Canis lupus familiaris: one gene and its partner. The protein of the gene in region 1 purifies or fractionates together with the protein of each later gene. This does not show direct contact. Links are inferred from orthologs where the notes say so. Each region holds a gene or a part of one and is shown on either strand. Other genes may lie near its edges. The genes, in order: SHCBP1 and RACGAP1.

The links.
Region 2: the proteins of SHCBP1 (region 1) and RACGAP1 purify together in Homo sapiens (affinity purification with mass spectrometry; 8 studies listed by BioGRID and IntAct, counting the BioPlex papers as one, with this or other methods). This does not show direct contact. The link is inferred for Canis lupus familiaris from reciprocal best matches to the Homo sapiens genes SHCBP1 and RACGAP1.

Annotation. Positions count from the first base shown.
Region 1 is NC_049236.1:8,523,827-8,533,468, reverse strand, and holds the end of SHCBP1 (SHC SH2 domain-binding protein 1), read right to left. Parts: intron 9,495-9,642; coding exon 9,376-9,494; intron 4,271-9,375; coding exon 4,184-4,270; intron 3,807-4,183; coding exon 3,665-3,806; intron 1,671-3,664; coding exon 1,345-1,670; 3' UTR 469-1,344; downstream 1-468. UniProt on the Homo sapiens protein: May play a role in signaling pathways governing cellular proliferation, cell growth and differentiation. May be a component of a novel signaling pathway downstream of Shc. Acts as a positive regulator of FGF signaling in neural progenitor cells.
Region 2 is NC_049248.1:41,937,018-41,946,659, forward strand, and holds part of RACGAP1 (rac GTPase-activating protein 1), read right to left. Parts: intron 9,315-9,642; coding exon 9,261-9,314; intron 8,541-9,260; coding exon 8,460-8,540; intron 7,881-8,459; coding exon 7,763-7,880; intron 6,604-7,762; coding exon 6,473-6,603; intron 5,812-6,472; coding exon 5,647-5,811; intron 4,433-5,646; coding exon 4,337-4,432; intron 4,088-4,336; coding exon 3,889-4,087; intron 2,016-3,888; coding exon 1,910-2,015; intron 1,730-1,909; coding exon 1,597-1,729; intron 1,467-1,596; coding exon 1,331-1,466; intron 359-1,330; coding exon 250-358; intron 1-249.

The DNA of each region.
Region 1 (9,642 bases):
GCAACAGGATTTAAAAGAGTAAAAGAAAAATGCCTTTCAATAGTCAGACAAGATATCCAACATAAATTCTTCCACATTTAGTATTATGCAATTTAAGAACCAACCACACTGAAGGAAAACCTTAATACTCTCTTCCTTTTTTTAAAAGATTTCTTTATTTATTCATCATAGACATAGAGAGAGAGAGAGAAAGAGGCAGAGACACAGGAGGAGGGAGAAGCAGGCTCCATGCCAGGAGCCCGACGTGGGACTCGGTCCTGGGACTCCAAGATCGCGCCCTGGGTCAAAGGCAGGTGCTAAACTGCTGAGCCACCCAGGGATCCCCAACCTTAATACTCTTTCTGAAACATTAAAAAAAAAAAAAACACTAAAAGGATAAACTTTGTGCACATTCCAAAGGACCACACATGCTACATATGCTACACATATGCTATGGCCCATAATGCATCTGGAAAAAATATAACAAGATTCAATTTTTTATTTCATCATTTTAATTTTAATCAGTAATGACACATACACTTTTTAAAAATATAAATATTTTAAAAGCTGTGCTTTACAATATGATATTCAAGAACACAGAGCTGATATAGGTTGTAAAAGTAATCACTTTGTCTAAGATACTTGAAATTTGATCAGAATACTGTTATGGCGAAAAAAAAAAAACTTCTTTTTAATCATTCATATTCAGCAACAGTGAAAATGCTCTACTTATGCACTGGCTCTGAATAACACATCTCATGTTTCAAACCTGCCATGCTATCTATTACTGTTTTGATGATTACATAGTTCAACATAAAAATGCATCACACTCAGATTCTCAATAAGTCTGATTACACAGATAACCTCCCAATCATAAAAGCTTTTATTTTAAGACAAGTATTATGCAAATGCAGCATGGAAATCAGACTTGCTGTTAATTGGGAGAAAAAGACAAGTGTAAGAACACTGCACATTTGACACCTATTGCATTTCTGTGCACTCATCTTGTATTCTCTGTCTTCCTCGTGTCCGAAGTGCTAGGTTAAAGTGTATTTATACTAGAAAGTTACTGATAGGCTTAATAATACGACAGAAGGATGTGTTTGAGAAAGCAAGACTTTCCAGATAAGAAATCTTCATTTTCTATTTTATATTTCTATTTTATATGTTTTTATGACCTTCCTTATACAGAGGAAATGTCTCTTGTGCAACACCTGCAGACAGAAATAGATGTCATTTCACTCACACCCAATCAAATATATCAAATGTGAAATACAGACATGAAGCAAACTACCACAGCAGCAGTGACTCTTAGGGCAGCATGTGCAAAATCCACTATTTTTCTATCTATTTACATCATGGTGGTCAGAAAAGAAATGTGCCAAAACTCCCTTTCCCATTCCACTTAAACTGGTTCCCCACAATTGAAACAAACATCTCCTGTGACATTAACTTGTCGTCAGCTTGCGTGATCCCCAGTTCACTCAACCTTTTCTTCTTCATCTGGCCCTTCTGTGTGGAGGCAGCAACTAGTTCATTCACAATTTCACAGTTGCCTTCAACTTGCTCAGAAAGGCTGGATCTTGCATAAAGCTCCATTTTGCCAGTTGCACACTGAATCAGCTCCTCTAAATCTATCCTTTCTGCTGTATCTGCCTCTTCACTTGTTGGAACTTTAAGTGCTCTATTTTCTGGAGAAATAAATTATAATAAATAAGGTTAAATGTACAAAATAACTCCACAAAAAAATATATATTTCTATATTCTGTGAGAGCTTTCAAGTTTTTTCTGCCAAGGATTCCTGCCATCATCTGAGTAGATTCTACAAACTCTTTGCTGTAAGTAGCTCAACGAGTAGTCGTTTTCCTCTTTGTACCAAAGCTTTCTGACTCTCCTTTCAAAAGGATTACCAATTTTGAATTCTTTTCTCTTTTTACCCTAGAATCTCCTTCACTTAACAGACCTTTCCTGAGTATTTACTACCTACTACGCATGGCTTTAGGGGCTAGATGCAAAGATTAATAAGACAGTGCCACTCTTCCTAAAGGAACTCCACTCCAGCAGCTGATGCCAGCATTCTCAGTGAGTAGGTATCTGGGGTAGAATTCTAGATGGTTCCTGCAACGCCCAACCCCTGGTGCTACCTTCATGACTGCTAAATGGCAAAATGATTTTGCACATGTCATTAAGGTTACTAAGCAGCTGACTTGAAGAAGATAATTAGGTGTCCCTAATCCAGTCATAGGGGCTCTTTAAAAGAAGGAAAAGAAAGCATGAAGAAATTCATAATGTGAGAGAGATTTGAAGCATGAGCAACATTTGCCTTGAGGGAGGTTCTCTTGAGGAAAGTTGGAGATACAGAGGGTTATAGGCCAAGCCTGGCCTCTAGAAACTGAGGACAATCCCCAGCCAATATAGCCAAAAAATGGAGACCTCATTCCTATGACCTCAAGCAAATGAATTCTTTTTTTTTTTTTTAAGATTTTATTTATTCATTCATGAGAGACACACACACACACACACACACACACACACACAGAGAGGCAGAGACACAGGCAGAGGGAGAAGCAGGCTCCATGCACCGGGAGCCCGATGTGGAACTCGATCCTGGGTCTCCAGGATCGCGCCCTGGGCTGAAGGCAGGCGCTAAACCGCTGAGCCACTGGGGCTGCCCAAGCAAATGAGTTCTGCCAATGATATGAATGAGTTCAGAAGCCGACCTTCCCCCCAGAACTCTCAGACAAAAGCCCACTCACCTCTGTGTTCACCCTTGTGAGACCCTAAGTACATAATGCAGACAAGCCCATTTGGACGTCTAACTACAGAACTGTGTGAAGAAAAAGAACTCACAGATAACTAGAGTGGGTCTTGAGGATGATGAGGACTACTTTCCTCACCCATGCCAATGCTTAATCCCTCTCTGACTGAGATTTCATAGTAATCTGGGTCATGGCTTGAAAGTCATGAATTTCCTAACGATTTAACTCAGCTTTGCTGCCATAGAAAGACAGTTGACAGGGAGGCATTTACTTCTGCCAATAAAAAATAGAAACAAACTTCACGATCCCCTCCAGCAAATGCAGACTGGCACACGCACTTCTCTGCCTCCACCCTTAACAAACGCCAGCAGGAGCTACCATTGCCATCATATGTCCAGCTTTATTCTATAAATATACAGAAAGCCAAGCATGATAAGAAGGGAACTACACGGGATCCCTGGGTGGCACAGCGGTTTGGCGCCTGCCTTTGGCCCAGGGCACGATCCTGGAGATCCGGGATCGAATCCCACATCGGGCTCCCGATGCATGGAGCCTGCTTCTCCCTCTGCCTATGTCTCTGCCTCTCTCTCTCTCTGTGACTATCATAAAAAAAAAATAAATAAATAAAAATAAAAAAATAAAAAATAAAAAAAAGAAGGGAACTACAGGACCAAATAATATTCTTATTACAACCACACACCAAGGTTTAGAAGGAATAGGTGAACTAGTTGACCTTGAAAGTTTCTTTCACCCTGGGAGTCTGCAATGTTATAGCTTTCCCAAGCTTCTTCAACCCCAAGTCCAAGCATATGCCAGTTATCTTTGTTAAAGGAAAGGAAGACTTGGATCCTTAATCAGAGTTCAATGTTGAAATAAAGCAAACTAGATCCAGTTTTTATTTTTAAAAATCACTAAATACAGCATACCTTCGGTTTCATCTTGGACATTTTCCTGCAGGTCAGAGAAGATTGTAGGTTTCACCAAGACAACACCATAACCTTCATTATTATGTATGACATTATTCACCATGGATATTTTGGGAATGTCATAATGCTCATCTAAGAAGTCCTGTGACATTGAAAACAAATGTTTTAAGGAACTGTCACATTCAACACCACCTGATTTTTAAAATCTCACTTTTTCCCGGCTATTCTAAAAATAAAGGAGAAGGCTATGCTTATTAATAAGTGGTAGTGCAGTCCGAGCTGAGTGACATAGCATTCCTCTGTCATTTCTGCAGATCTATAGGCAGCAACATATTCTCACAAAAGAACATCACCAACTATTGATATCAAGATGATTATTAAGATGTATATACTGCTTGTGCTTTCAAAACCAGAAAACAATAGAACTCAACATGAGAATTTAATGAAACACAATTATTTCTTGTATGAAACCATTCTAACTAACTTTTGGAAAGAGGGTGTTTTAGCAGGAGCACTCACCTTAATGAGTATCCCTTCCTTGCAGTGATGGATCCCATTGTCACTTAAGGTGCACTTACTCCCTGGATAGATTTCTATACCAGCACCCTACAAGTTATGTTTTAAGGTGTTACAATCAGTTTTTTAAAGACAAGACTACAAGAGAAGGCTTATTACAATCACTTCTTAAACCTTAACATAGTGCAAATACAAAGTATTTTACAGAAAGCTTTGTTAGATATTTCTAATCAACATTTCCATTTGCTCCATTTCCAGCAAATTCTCTATCATTTATCACTTTCAAAAATGATTCACAGATATACACACAAAACACTGGCTAAGATTATCAACACTTGATTACTGTCCCACTCCCTTTCATTCTGGACAAGTCAGTTTTCTGATCCTGCCAAAGAAAAAGAACAAAGTATTTAACAATTTTGCAATTATTTAAAATGAACATCTTCTCTGAGATACTCAATTAGCTGGAGAACAGTATTTGAGTCTAGTAAAATATTGTAATATAAGGATAGAAAATAGACCTGATATTTTTTAAAACCCATCAGTTTTAAAACATCTCAACATAACTTAAAAATCAGTATGAGCTAAAGAATTAATGGCCTCCACTACTACACACATGTTAAAATTAGCAGCCAATTCAAGTGTATCATTTATACAAAGTAACCAGAAAGATCCATGCATGGAACAATTCTTTCACATTATTCCTTGGGACTACATGGTATCAATTAAGAAGTAACAATAACAGGAATCATTTATTTACTGAAGTTATACTAAGCACTTTGGGAAGTAAAAATAATTTATTCAAACCTCTAGTTATTTAAGAAATCATTTTCGGAATAATTTCATATATAATATCATACATGAAGAAACACTGCTATTAACCATTTATAACACATTTACTGTATGTATGTTGAGAGTATGCCATGAGAAAAATTTATTATTATATCCCTTTTAGGGATAGGAGAACATATATGCCCAGATGACCCACTACACACCAATCTAACTCTCCATTAGGTAAAAAGATCTGCTAATTGGGCTTTCTTCCCCAGACTTGAGGCTGAAGAAGCTGGCAATCCACGAACACCAGACACAGACCAGAAGCCTCCTGAAAAGCCTGCTCTCTCTAGCCAAAGAACCAGGCAACCTGGAAAGTCAGAAAACTTTCAGACAATTATAGCTCTATGCCAGCCAAACACCACAGATAAAAACAGTGGACCGTCCCCACACATGCTGGCAAATGCCGAAAGGAGAACATAAACATCCTTCTCAAGACTATCACCAGGCACCGCAACTCTCCCCGTGGGGTGGTGTCAGAGAAGGCCAAGTAGGAAGCCACCAGCCAAAGCGCCAGCACTCCCACCCGACAGTCAAAGTGCTACTGCTCCTCCCCACTAGGGTGGTACCAGAGCAGGCCTGGCAGGAAGCCTGGCCTTTCACCACTGCCCAGTGTAACAAGGCCACTGCCTTGGGCCGTGGCATCAGGGAAATCATGTAAGAAATCAGAATTTCTACCCCCTCCCAGCAGTAACAAAGAGCTCCCCCATTCAAACTGGGTGTCAATGGAAGCTAAATGGGGAACCCGGACTTCTCCCTCCCTGCACCTCTCAGTAACGAGGCAGTACCCTCCACCTCAACCCTTCCTGTACTGGTGTCACCGAAGTTAAAACAGAAGATCCAGGCTCTCATAATACCACAAAATATCCAGGTTTCAGGTGAAAATCTCTTGCCAAACCAAGAGCCAGAAAGATGTCAAACTGTCAACAGATGCCAAGACCAACTGTCAGATGTTAGAATTAGCCGACAAGGATTTTAAAGCAGCCATGATAAAAATGCTTTAATGAGCAATTATGAACATACTTAAATGAAAAATGAAAGGCACACAAATTAACAGAAAGGCTCAGCAAAGTAACAGAAAATATAAAGGACCAAATGGAAATTTCAGAGCTCAAAAATGACAGAAATAAAAAGCTCCATGGATGGGCTCACCAGCAGAAAGGAAAAGACAGAGCAAAGAATCAGTAAACTGGGAAGATAGAAGAATAGAAACTACCCAATCTGAACAAAAGACAAAAAATGCACTAAAAAAAAAAGTGAATAGGGGGATCCCTGGGTGGCTCAGCGGTTTAGCACTGCCTTTGGCCCAGGGCGTGGTCCTGGAGTCCCAGGATTGAGTCCCACATCAGGCTCCCTGCATGGAGCCTGCTTCTCTCTCTGCTTGTGTTTCTGCCTCTCTCTTTCTGTGTCTCTCATGAATAAATAAGTAAAATCTTTAAAAAAAAAAAAAGGGCAGCCCGGGTGGCTCAGCGGTTCAGCGCCGCCTCTGGCCCAGGTCCTGATCCTGGAGACCCAGGCTTGAGTCCCGTGTCGGGCTCCCCGCAGGGAGGCTGCTTCTCCCTCTGCCTGTGTCTCTGCCTCTCTCTGTGTCTCTCATGAATAAATAAAATCTTTTTTTTTTTTGAATAAATAAAATCTTAAAACAAAACAAAACAACGGTGTCTATCCTCTCCAAATTGATATACAGGTTTACAAAAATTCTTATCAAAATCTCAGACTTTTTGTAGAAAGAGACAATATTTTTCTAAAACATATATATTGAAAGGCAAAGGAATTAGAATAGCTGAAACAATTTTGGAAAAGACAAAGTGGGAGGAATCACTATCAGATTTCAAGACTTACAGTAGCAGGTGTTGGTGGAGGGACAGGTCCACACATTAGGAGAAGGGAACACAGAAACAGAAATCCCCACACAAATTTCCCAGATGATTTTTGACAAAAGTGCAAAACGAATTTATTGGAGGAATGACAGCCTTTTTAAGAAATGGTGTGGTTACAAATGGACATCTATGGGCAAATAAATAAACCTTAACCTAAAATTCACATTTATACCAAAATTTACTCAAAAACGGATCATGACTTACATGTAAAACGTAAACCATAAAATTTTTAGGAGAAAAGAATAAGAGAAAATCCTTGCGACCTAAGGCTGGGCATAGAGTTCCTTACACTTAACACCAAAAGCACTACCCATAAATGGAAAAATCCAATAAATTAGGCTTCATCATAAATTAAAGCTCTGTTCTATAAAAGCCCATGTGAATAAAATGAAAAGACAAGCTATAGACTAGCATAAAAATCTGCAGGGGCACCCGGGTGGTTCAGTTGGTTGAGCATGATCTTGGGGCTCTGAGCTGGATAGGAGGCCTGCTTAGGATTCTCTCTCTCCCTCTCTCTCTCTCCCGTCCCTCCCTGCCTGCCTCACAGGTGTATACACTCTCAGGATAGAGAAAAAAACAAAACAAAAACTGTATGCAAAGCAAATACCCACCAGAGGACTAGTATCTAGAATATAAAAAGAACTCTCAAAACTCTACAGTAAAAAAGAACAAATAATCCAATTAGAAAATGGTCAGAAGTCATGAATAGACATTTCACTGAAGAGAAGGATGGCAAGTAAGCATATGAAAAAATGTTCCACATCATTAACCACTAGGTAAATGCAAATTAAAACCACACACCTAACAGAATGGCTAAAATTAGAACAGTAAAAATATCAAATGCTGGGGAAGATATAGAGAAACTGTATCACTCAAACATCCGCTGATGGGAATGTAAAATGACGTAACTACTCTAGAAAACAGTTTGGCCATGTCTTTTTTTTTTTTAATTTTAACTTTTTTTTTTTTAAAGATTTTATTCACTTATTCGTGAGAGAGTGAGAGAGAGACAGGCAGAGGGAGAAGCAGGCTCCATGCAAGGAGCCTGACGCGGGACTCGATCCCAGGTCCCCAGGATCACGCCCTGGGCTGAAGGTGGCGCTAAACCACTGAGCCACCCAGGCTGCCCTGGCCACGTCTTTTTTTTTTTTTTTTTTAATTTTTATTTATTTATGATAGTCACAGAGAGAGAGAGAGAGAGAGAGAGGCAGAGACACAGGCAGAGAGAGAAGCAGGCTCCATGCACCAGGAGCCCGACGTGGGATTCGATCCTGGGTCTCCAGGATCGCGCCCTGGGCCAAAGGCAGGCGCCAAACCGCTGCACCACCCAGGGATCCCTGGCCACGTCTTTAAAAAAAAAAAAAGTAAACATGCAGTTGCCACATGATCTACAATTGCACTCCTGGGCATTTACTCCAGAGAAATGAAAACGTTTCCCATAGTAACCTGTACACAAATGTTGGCTGTAGCTTTATTTACAACAGCCAAAACTTGAAAACAACTCAGATATCCTTCAACAGGTGAACAGTTAAACAAACTGTGCAACAAACATATGCTGGAATACTATAAATAGTATAGTAAATAGCAATAAAAAAAGAAGAAACACTTGGTACCTACAACTTGGGTGAAGCTCCAGAGAACTGTGCTAAGTAAAAAAAGCCAACCTCAGAAGGTTATGATGATTTACATTTACATAACGTTCTTGGGACGATGAAATAACAGAAATGGAGACAAGACCAGGGTTTGCCAGTGATTAAAGAAGAGGTGTGACGGAGAAGCAAGTGGCTGTCGCTGTCAAAAGGCAACATGCAGGAACCTTGAAGTGATGGTAATACTCAACTTGACTGAATGGACTATCTGGCTGTGCTGTTGTACTACAGTTTTACAGGATGTTACAACTAGTACAGAACACACATACAGGATCTCTCTGTTCTACTGCTTACAACAGCATGTTATCTCAGCAATTCTCTCAAAATAAATAGTCTAATTTAAAAAAAAGCAACTGAGCTTCAATTGCTACAAAATCCATTTATAAAGTCAACAAATGTGAAGGGTCTAAATTTCTCAAAGTTATCACAGAGAAACTGAGATTTCTTATTTCTCTTCCTTATATAACTACATCCGGCTTAGTACATAAAAGTGTCTGAACTTCTTTGAAGAAAGAGAACAGGAGTATGCATTTACATCTTGGTCCCACATTTTGTTTACTTATTTAGAACTTAAACCTAGGGCAGCGCCGGTGGCTCAGTGGTTTAGCGCCGCCTTCAGCCCAGGGTGTGATCCTGGAGACCTGGGATCGAGTCCCACATTGGGCTCCCTGCATGGAGCCTGCTTCTCCCTCTGCCTGTGTCTCTGCTTCTCTCTCTCCTCTCTGTGTATTCTCATGAATAAATAAAATCTTTTAAAAAAACAAAACAAAACAAAAAAACAAAAAGAACTTAAACCTAAACTACTTCCCCAAAGGATAAGAGATTATCCTACCTTGGCACCATATAAATCTGAGTTCTTCATTAAAAATTCTGCTGACGTTCGCACTGTGACTCCGGTAGTTTCACACTGCAGCACACAGTTTTCCAACGTGGTCTTACCACGGTGGATGACTAGGATGAAAACATGCAATCAAATGCTTCAAGTAATGTGTTTTCCAATATTAGAAATGTCAGCTCTAATACTAAATATTTCTCTAGCTACCATTTAAACTTTGTTACTGGAATTACAAACTCACAATTTACAAAACAATGACTAACA
Region 2 (9,642 bases), on another chromosome or scaffold:
AGCTAAAAATAGGAAACCCTCAACAACTACTCTGTAAACTACTCTTTGTCGCCTGAGAGGAGAGAGGGGAAACAAAACCTTTAGGCCCTTCTCAAAAAGGGGTCATTATGGCTCCAGATTAGCTTTCAAAGGCTAGCTGCTAAGCTGAGGCCTCATTCAATTTTCCCTTTGATAAGCTTCACTATGCTGGGAAAAGAGGTCTAAGGGAAGAGTCCTTTTTTACTTCCTAAGCCGGCCAGTTCCACATACCTGGGTGTGTTCTTGGTGAGGGTGGAGCGTACTCTCTGTGACAGGGAACTAGAAGAAGGAGTCTTGAGAAGCTGATGCTCAGGAGTGGTCACGGGCCCCAGTAAGCTCACTTCAATCAAAGGTAAGACACATTTTTAAAGGAGGGGCAAAAAGGAAAGCACCCTTGTGGGTGTCCAGTTTTGAGCTGAATATTCTATGAAGCACTTAAGAGCTAAGGTTAGAGACCCAAGCAAAGCCCCAGTGATCATTTTTGTCATCGTCTCTAACACACCAGTATATCTTTTGAACCATGCAGGCCTCTGATCAATGAATAGCTGACATTTGTTTCCTGATTTAGGCCATTCTCAAACTCCAACATTCACAAATCTAATGTCTGACCACTTGATTCTGACCAGTGTTAAAAAAACAACATTCTTTCTTTAAAAAGATCTTGTAAAAATGAGAGATCAGGTCTCCAATGCCAGTACAAATTGGAAGAAACCAACCTCAAACATTTTTGGTGGCAATACAAAATGGCAAAAGCCTTTAAGAAATCAAGTTGGTGAAACATAAAAATGTTCAAGCCATTTTTGTCTTTTTTTTTTTTTTTAAATGTTCAAGCCCTTTAATTCAACTATTCCCATTCTTGGGAATTTATCATTAGGGGAAAACAAAGGTAGACACATATAATGCTGATAGCAGCATTATTAGTAACTATGGAAAATTCAAAAATAACATCAACCTCTAGTAGAACATGTTAAGTAAATTACAGTTTATGATCATAAAAATGATAAAATTATATAGTAACAGGAAGAGTTCTCACAATATGCTAAGTGAAATAAGATCAAATCATAGCTGAATCGTTATTATATTTCTAAAATATCCATATATATAACGAAAAGAAGAACCATGTTCCATAAAAGTGAAAAAAAAATTAGGATGATAGAACTGTATAAATTTTCTTTTAATGTTAGAATACTCACAATGAATTTAATTTTTACTGAAGAATATGAATTCCAAACAGCTCTAGCAAAGGCAGAGCTGACCTTTGCTAAAACCAGGAACAGAGTCAGGTCCCTTAGAAACACAACTTGGGCCTTACCTTTACTACTTGGTGTCTGCGGTGTTGAAAAGGCATTTGAGTTTTCAATGACATGAATGGGTTCAATGTTCTCTTGTTCCACCATCATAAACTGACTCCAGTATTCCAGGGGCAGGGAAAGCAGGCGCTCTACCACCTAAAAAGCCACTAAATAAGTTAGCACACTTCCAAAGCTCAGGGCTTATCTCCCCCCGGTCTCTCACGTTATCACGTCACACAGGTTTATACATGGTTATGTATTTTATATATATGGTGGACTTGCCTACCTTGGGCTGACGCTTGATGTCCTGTAACATAACCACTGGATCTGGATTGGGCACAGCATGGGCAACTATGGTAGGCCCAAAGACTTTAGCCAGATTGGTCACATCCATTTTAGTGTTTGGGCTCTGAGCCACTCTAAGCAAGAGAACATTCATTTAAAAGACTTGCTCTTCTGCTTAAACACAGACCACAATATAAGATCTACCAGGGAACAATTCACCCATCACATTTCCTCCCTAACACCCAACCCACATTATGTTCCCAGTGGCAAATTCCCAAACTCCCCTCCCAAAAGTGAGTTTCTGCTGTACTCACCTCTGCAAGTGAATCATGAGAAAAGCTAATGTGTCTCTGTTGGCCTGGGGCAGTTCACCAACAGCCTGGTACATGGCAGCTATGCTGTTGTCCTCATCTGTGATTTCTGTAAATGAAAAGAAAGCACCAAGAGGTCTGACTTCTTTCCCTTGACAGCGTGCTTCCAAGTGATCGACCACAAAGTCTCATCTATACAGTAAGCTTCTGAAACTTCTGATTAGGTTCATGACTGCATCAAACTCCAGTTTCATTAACAAGCAGAACACTGGCCAACAGCTCAATATTAGAAATCAGAACCTTTAAAAAAATATCAGCTCCTGCAGTTAGGGAAAGCAGCTAGCAACCCATATGCTGGGGAGGCAGGCACACAACTGCACTGACTATAATTACCAAGAAGGTGTTGGTTTTAAGACATAGTCAGGGCCCTACTATGGACCAGATACTAAGTGCTCAGGCAAAGCACCATTAAACAAAGACCTTGCCTCACTGAACCTACATTCTATAGGAGGAGTTAGTCAAAAAGCAGGCCTTGATCAGGTAGTGATACACAGTAGAAGCTAGAAAGTAATGGGAACAGTTACTTTGGACAAGGTGGTCAGTCAGGAAAGGTGTTTCTGAGGACTAGATACCCAAAAAGAAACCTGAAAAGAAATAAAGGAGCAAATCATATAATACATTGCAGGCTGATGCAACAGCCTCAAGATGGGAATAAATTTGGTTATGTATCAAGAACTATGTACCAAGTATTCCAGGATAAATGGAGAAGAAAGAAAGAAGGGAGGGATTGAGAGAAATGATACTAGAGATGGAATCAGGAGCCAAATCAGACAGGTGGGGCTTTTGGGGCCATGTTAAGGACCATGGATTTATTCTGAGAGTGATGGGGAGTCACTGGAGAATACTAAAGACAGAAGAGACGTCATCTAATTTAAATTTCAGAAGGACCCTTTTAGGTACCGTTTGAGGATCATAGTGCAGAGGGCAGGAGTAGAAAGAGGAAAATGAGTAGGTTCCTCCATCACTCCAGGGTGAGAGATGTCAAGAGTGGTAGTAGCAGGAGTGGCAAATTTCAACTTTAACTTTTTTTAAAATATTTTATTTATTTATTCACAAGAGACACACAGAGAGAGCCAGAGACATAGGAAAAGGGAGGAGAAGCAGGCTCCATGCAGAGAGCCCGGGACTCCAGGAACATGCCCTGAGGCAAAGGCAGACTCAACCATTGAGCCACCCAGGTGTCCCAAATTTCAAGAATTTCAAGTTTAAGATAAATTTTGGGGATCCCAGGGATCCCTGGGTGGCGCAGCGGTTTAGCGCCTGCCTTTGGCCCAGGGCGCGATCCTGGAGACCCGGGATCGAATCCCACGTCAGGCTCCCGGTGCATGGAGCCTGCTTCTCCCTCTGCCTGTGTCTCTGCCTCTCTCTCTCTCTCTGTGACTATCATAAATAAATAAAAAAAAATTAAAAAAAAAAATTTGGGGGGATCCCTGGATGGCTCAGCAGTTTAACGCCTGCCTTTGGCCCAGGGCGCGATCCTGGAGTCCCGGCATCGAGTCCCACGTTGGGTTCCCGGCATGGAGCCTGCTTCTCCCTTCTCCTGTGTCTCTGCCTCTCTCTCTCTCTCTCTCTGTGTGTGTCTATCATGAATAAATAAGTAAATAAATCTTAAAAAAAAAGAAAAAGATAAATTTTACAAGACATTTGCTGGCAAGATATGCCAACGGATTAAAGGTGGTGTGGGGAAAAGGAATCAATGATGGCTCTAAGTTCAAAAGGACAGCATCAAACTTGACCCCAAAACAAACAAAAACTTTGTTTAGACAGGAAGAGGATGGGCACCAGGAACACAGATCGTTATTCTTCCATCAAAGCATTTATGCATCCACTATGTTGCATGCACCGCACTGGGCAGGAAACGAAGAGTCAAAATAATCCTGCCCATGTGGAACTCACAATCCAGTATTAAGATCTACTCTTACCTGCTGCTTCCATGAAAGTCTTGTTTAGCCGAAAGGTCAGAAGGGGTTCTTTGAGGTTTCGAAGGAAGTCCTTCAGGAGGCTACAAATAGCATGGATATCATCCACTTTGCTGAGGAGGGGTACAGTTTTCACTCTGAGGAATTTCTCTTTCAGCTCTTTTACTGTTCGGTCACAGCCAGAGATCCGATACAGGCCTGTCTATTATTAAGGTGACACTTTCAGTTAAGAACTCCTAATTATTAACACAAATAACAAATTCACGATCTCTGCAGATTAACTTTTTTCTTTAGAGTCGGGGGCAGAGCCAGACAGGTGTAGGGCAGAGGAGAGGGAGAGAGAGAATCTTAAGGAGACTGACACGGGCTCCATCTCATCACGACCTGAGCCAGTATCAAGAGTCGCTTAACCAACTGAGCCACCCAGGTGCCTCTGAAGGTCGACTCTTACCTCAGTCAGCCCTCTCTGTTCAATCTCATTTACACAATGGACAACAATGGACGGGATCATTGGAGAAGTCTGGGACACATAATCTGCCAGCATTCCCTGAAAAGGGAGAGTTTTAAATTATTATTTATATCACTTAGACCAGCAAATCAAGAGGAAGAGGAAAAACCATCTCCAAACTAATACTGAGGCTGGGACATCATGTCTACTTTTAAATTCCTATTCCCAGAGTATATATTAGATCAGAGACTCTCAACTATACTTTTCCTACAACCACACCAGGACTGATTTATGGTCACATATACCACACTCTTGGGTGAACAAGTAGTAAGATGGACTGGCTACAACTCTGCCCCCGCTGGTCCTCTATTCAAGGGCCTCAGAAAACAAGAAATAATGAGATTATACGTATGGCCTTTAATAGGAAGTAATTTATTATTCTAAAAAAGGAAAACCTTTTTTACCCCTAAATTATTCTTAGTAAGAAAAATTACTTAATACAATTAACAGTTGATCAGGACACAAACCTATCTGAAGGGGAGAGGTCCATGGTTCTCTATTGGAGTAGAGAAAATCTGTAACCGATTACACGCACAAATAAGAACTGTTAAGATTAAAGAAAAGTAACATTTGATTCGCTAGGGGCTGGGTAGCAGCATAATCATTTTGTTTTGAATCTTGTTAATGTTGTTCATACAACAAATAATTTCTTTATAGACTGAATCAGTTTTTAGAAATAAGCAATCTAATTTTAATAGCCTAGTATGGAATACCTCTAACATAAGAGAAAGTACATTCACAGATGAAATCACGTGATGGCTGGGATTCGTTTCAAGATAATTTACTGGACAGGGCCAGGAGGAGAACAGGGGGGTACTGATAAGTCAAGCTTGGATGTGAACTAGTAATCACAACAGCTGAGTGACAGGAACCAGAGGTCAGTTGTCCTAATCTCTCTACTTCTGTGTATGTTTGAGATTTTATAAAACAGGAATAGCATGTAGAGAGGGGAAGGAGGAGAAGAAGAGGGAAGGAAGGAGAAGGGAGAGGAAGGAAGGAAAGAAGGAAAGGGAGGGAGGGAGGATGAACAGAGAAGCGGGGAGAAGGTGGAAGGAGGGAGGGGAAGAAGAGTCTGATGTAGAAACAGACAAACCCAAGCAGGAGTCTACTGAAAGTTAACATTTTACCATTTCTCTTCATCATTCCTGGGGAAAAACTATGCTTGGCATCACTAATTTTAGGATTAAAACTGACATTTAGCTTTGAAAAAGCCAAAGAAGCCATACCACAAAGACGGGCCCCACAGGTCGTACCTCTCCAATCTTGACAGGTGTTCCTATCAGAGTAGGAATGCAGGGAAGGGGACAGCGGTCCCGACATTCTGGATGAGAGACCACACGACAGTCTCGACACTTCAGAGACAGCTTGCCAAATTTTATCCGCTTGCCACATGGAACACAAGATTCAGGTTTAATAACCTGAGGACAAAAGAGGGCAGAAAGAACAGAGTGGTCTTAGAAAACTATCATCATCAATAGTTAATTTATTAGGCACTTAGTACCAAATAACTTCCTAATCCCTTTACACCTATTTGTGTAATTCTCACAATAATCCTACAAAAGAGGTTTTTGTTCTTTCTTTTAAGATAAGGAAACGGAAGCCAAAAGAGGCTGTGTCACTTGCATGAGGTCATCCAGCTGGAAGGGGGCAGTGTACACTAGAGGAAAGAATCTGTTGACAAGAAGTTAACAAAGTTTCCATATTAACTCTGCCACTTACTTTCCTGTGGCTCAAATAAACTCTTCTGAGCCTGTCAGATTGCTTAGGTTTTTATGAGGAAATCCAATGGGACAAAGGAAAAACATGCTGTATTCAAGCATACACTGTAAATGTGTATCACTAAAAAGCACCAACAATTGCTTCTGAAAAGTTGGCTTGTTTTAATTTAATATTCCTCACAGAATGTAAAGATAGACATCTTCTGTAACTGATAGTGAACCCTGAAGAGTGGAATTGAAAGAAGGAGATCTGACATTTAACTTTCTAATATTGAGTTATTTAAATTTGTTTCTAGTATATTTTACTTTCACAATCAAAAACTTAAGCGTGCCCAAAAGAACAAAGTGATCACAGATCTACCGTCTTAGAGACGAAGTCATGCAGGCGCATCCCTCCATTATTCTGCGGGGTGCCAGAGTTGTCTGTCTCAGTTTTTGGCTCTAGCTGCCTGCTGCTCAAGGTAGAGTCACTGTTCCAAGGCTGTAAAGTACCTAGAAAACAAGCAACTTTAAGCTTAATATTTTGTTCCTTCTGAATTTTAACCCCAAGTTTAATATAACTGGTAGATGACCAGTAATTTGTAACCATAATCAGAAGTGACTACAATCGCTATGCAGAAAAATCATTTCAAGAATAACAAGTTACCTGGAAAACTGTGTGGAGGTTCCTCAAAGAGTTAAAAATAGATCTGCCCTACAACCCAGCAATTGCACTGCTGGGGATTTATCCCAAAGATACAAATGCAGTGAAACACCGTGACACCTGCACCCCGATGTTTCTAGCAGCAATGTCCACAATAGGCAAACTGTGGAAGGAGCCTCGGTGTCCATCGAAAGATGAATGGATAAAGAAGCTGTGGTCTATGTATACAATGGAATATTCCTCAGCCATTAGAAATGACAAATACCCACCATTTGCTTCGACGTGGATGGACCTGGAGGGTATTATGCTGAGTGAAATAAGTCAATCGGAAAAGGACAAACATTATATTCATTTGAGGAATACAAAAATTAGTGAAAGGGAATAAAAGGAAAGGAGAGAAAATGAGTGAAAATATCAGTGAGGATGACAAAACATGAGAGACACCTAACTCTGGGAAATGAACAAGGGGTAGTAGAAGGGGAGGTGGGCGGGGGGTTGGGGTGACTGGGTGATGGGCACTGAGGGGGGCACTTGGCAGGATGAGCACTGGGTGTTATGCTATATGTTGGCAAATTGAACTCCAATAAAAAAATTAAAAAAAAAAAAAAAAGAATAACAAATTATAGGGCACCTGGCTGGCTCAATAGGTTGAGTATCTGACTCTTGATTTTGGCTCAGGTCAGGGTCTCATGAGTCATGGAATCGAGTCCCATGTAGGCTCCATGCTCATGGAGTCTGCTTGAAGATTCTCACCCTCTGCCCCTCCCCCCACTCTCACTCTTAAATAATCTATAGGAAAAAAAAAACAACAACGAGTTACATGTGAGTGGCATAGGGCAGGCTAGCAATCTAAAGGTAGAGTATGACAGTGTCCTGGCCTTCAGTAAGCAGCAGTAAGAAACCACCCACAACATCTACTCCCTGCCTCAAAAGGTTCTTAAAAAACCAAGTCTCCCCCAATTTTACTAGTTGTTTTACACAGGCAATTTAGTTAGAAACCCAATGGACCTGTTTTCCTTCGGCTTCTCATCCAATATGGTACAGTCTCAATTGTGGACACAGCTTCGATGGGCCCGCCATCATTGGGAACAGTCACCGTAGTTTTTGCAACTATAGATTCATTCCCCTGAAACAAAAGTAGAAATGAGGGAAGAACAAACATGTGAATCTCATTTCCCCTCCACTATAGGGTGTTTTGGAGTGGCTGAAAACTCCTAAATCTTGGCCAGGACTTAAGGCCCTAGCTCAAAACACTCAGTTGAAACCTTGTACTTTAGAACAGAAATATAGGTCACAGAGGCATACACATAAGCAACTACATAGAATCAAATACAAAACCAACAGTTGTTTACTCAGAGTGATTCCATTCATGTGGATGATAAGGATCCTATTATTACACAGAAAAACTCACCAAATCTCTCTCTCAAAATAACATTACAGCGTTGATTCAGGATTCTATTTATTTATTTGAGAGAGAGACAGAGAGAGCACAAGCAGGGTCAGGAGCAGAAGGGGAGGGAAAGGGACAAGGAGACTCCTCACTGAGCAGGGAGCCCAACGTGGGGCTTGATTCCAGGACCCCAAGGATCATATGTTTAACAGACTGAGCCACCCAGGTGCCCCTTGACTCAGGATTCTTAGTGCTTGGGGCCACTAATCTCTAATGTGTTCACAACCACAATTCTCTTGGCCTGACTATTCTTACCTGGTCTACTGTGGAGCCAATGGAACGAGTCTTCTTTACAGGTCCAGGGGGACCATCAATGAACTGTCGGCTACTAGAGCGCTGGAAAGGAGACAAAGACCAATTAGTTTAGTGCCAAATAGAAGACCTGAAGCACAGAAGATAACATTATTCCATTAGACAACTTGGGTACAAGTCCTAGGTACCAGGGCTATGGTAAATAACAATGTTAGTTAGTTAGTTAGTTAGTTAGTTAGTTAGTTAGTTAGTTAGTTAGTTATATATATCATTCTATTTCCACATAAAGCTTAAGTTGTACCAACACAAAAATGCCCTCAATGCCCTGGAAGAAACAACCAAGCTTTGGAAAAATTTAGATGACAGCACCAGAAAAAGTAGAGCTGTAATCCTATCAAAAGACATGAAGTCTTTGGACACATATTAAGTACCCTAAACAAGCACACACAGACAGAGCTCTGCATATCCCATTATACACGTACTTCATCTGAAAATTTTTTAGAGTACAAAAGTCCTGCGTAAAAATTCCTATGACAACTCAAAACAAACTTAAGTAAATCCTTTTCCAATATATGAATGAACTGAGGCAGCCAGAACAGTGAAATAGGACAAGATTCTGTCCTGAGTTACTACCTCGAGGATTGGCAATACAGCCCCCAGGATGAATTCATTTGTAATAGGTGTTTAAAAATGATTAGAGCAACATAAGTCAGGAATGCTGTATCATGGAAAAACTTCTAGAGAAAATTCCTTTATTGTAATTTTGTAAAAACAACAGCAAAAACTAAATAAAACCATACGTACCCTCTTTTCTCTCTTCTTTAGTTTGAAAGTCTTTACCAAGGAAGAATCCCAATCCTGTTGACAATTACACTGCATTAGTTTCTCTCTGTGGTTAGGCCTCCCCTAAACCCTGTGCAAATAAATTTACAGAAAACTTGAAAGGCTTTTTTTTTAAGAATTTATTTATTTATTCATGGGAAATAGAGAGGTAGAGACACAGGTAGAGGGAGGAGGCTCCCCACAGAGAGCCTGATGTGGGACTCGATCCCAGGACCCCAGGATCATGCCCTAAGCTGAAGGCAGACGTTCAACTGCTGAGCCACTCAGGCGCCCCTCGAAAAGCTTTTTGAGACAGACTGCCTGACAATTTGGGGAGAGGGAAAGGGGAGGGTCTCAAGTGCTA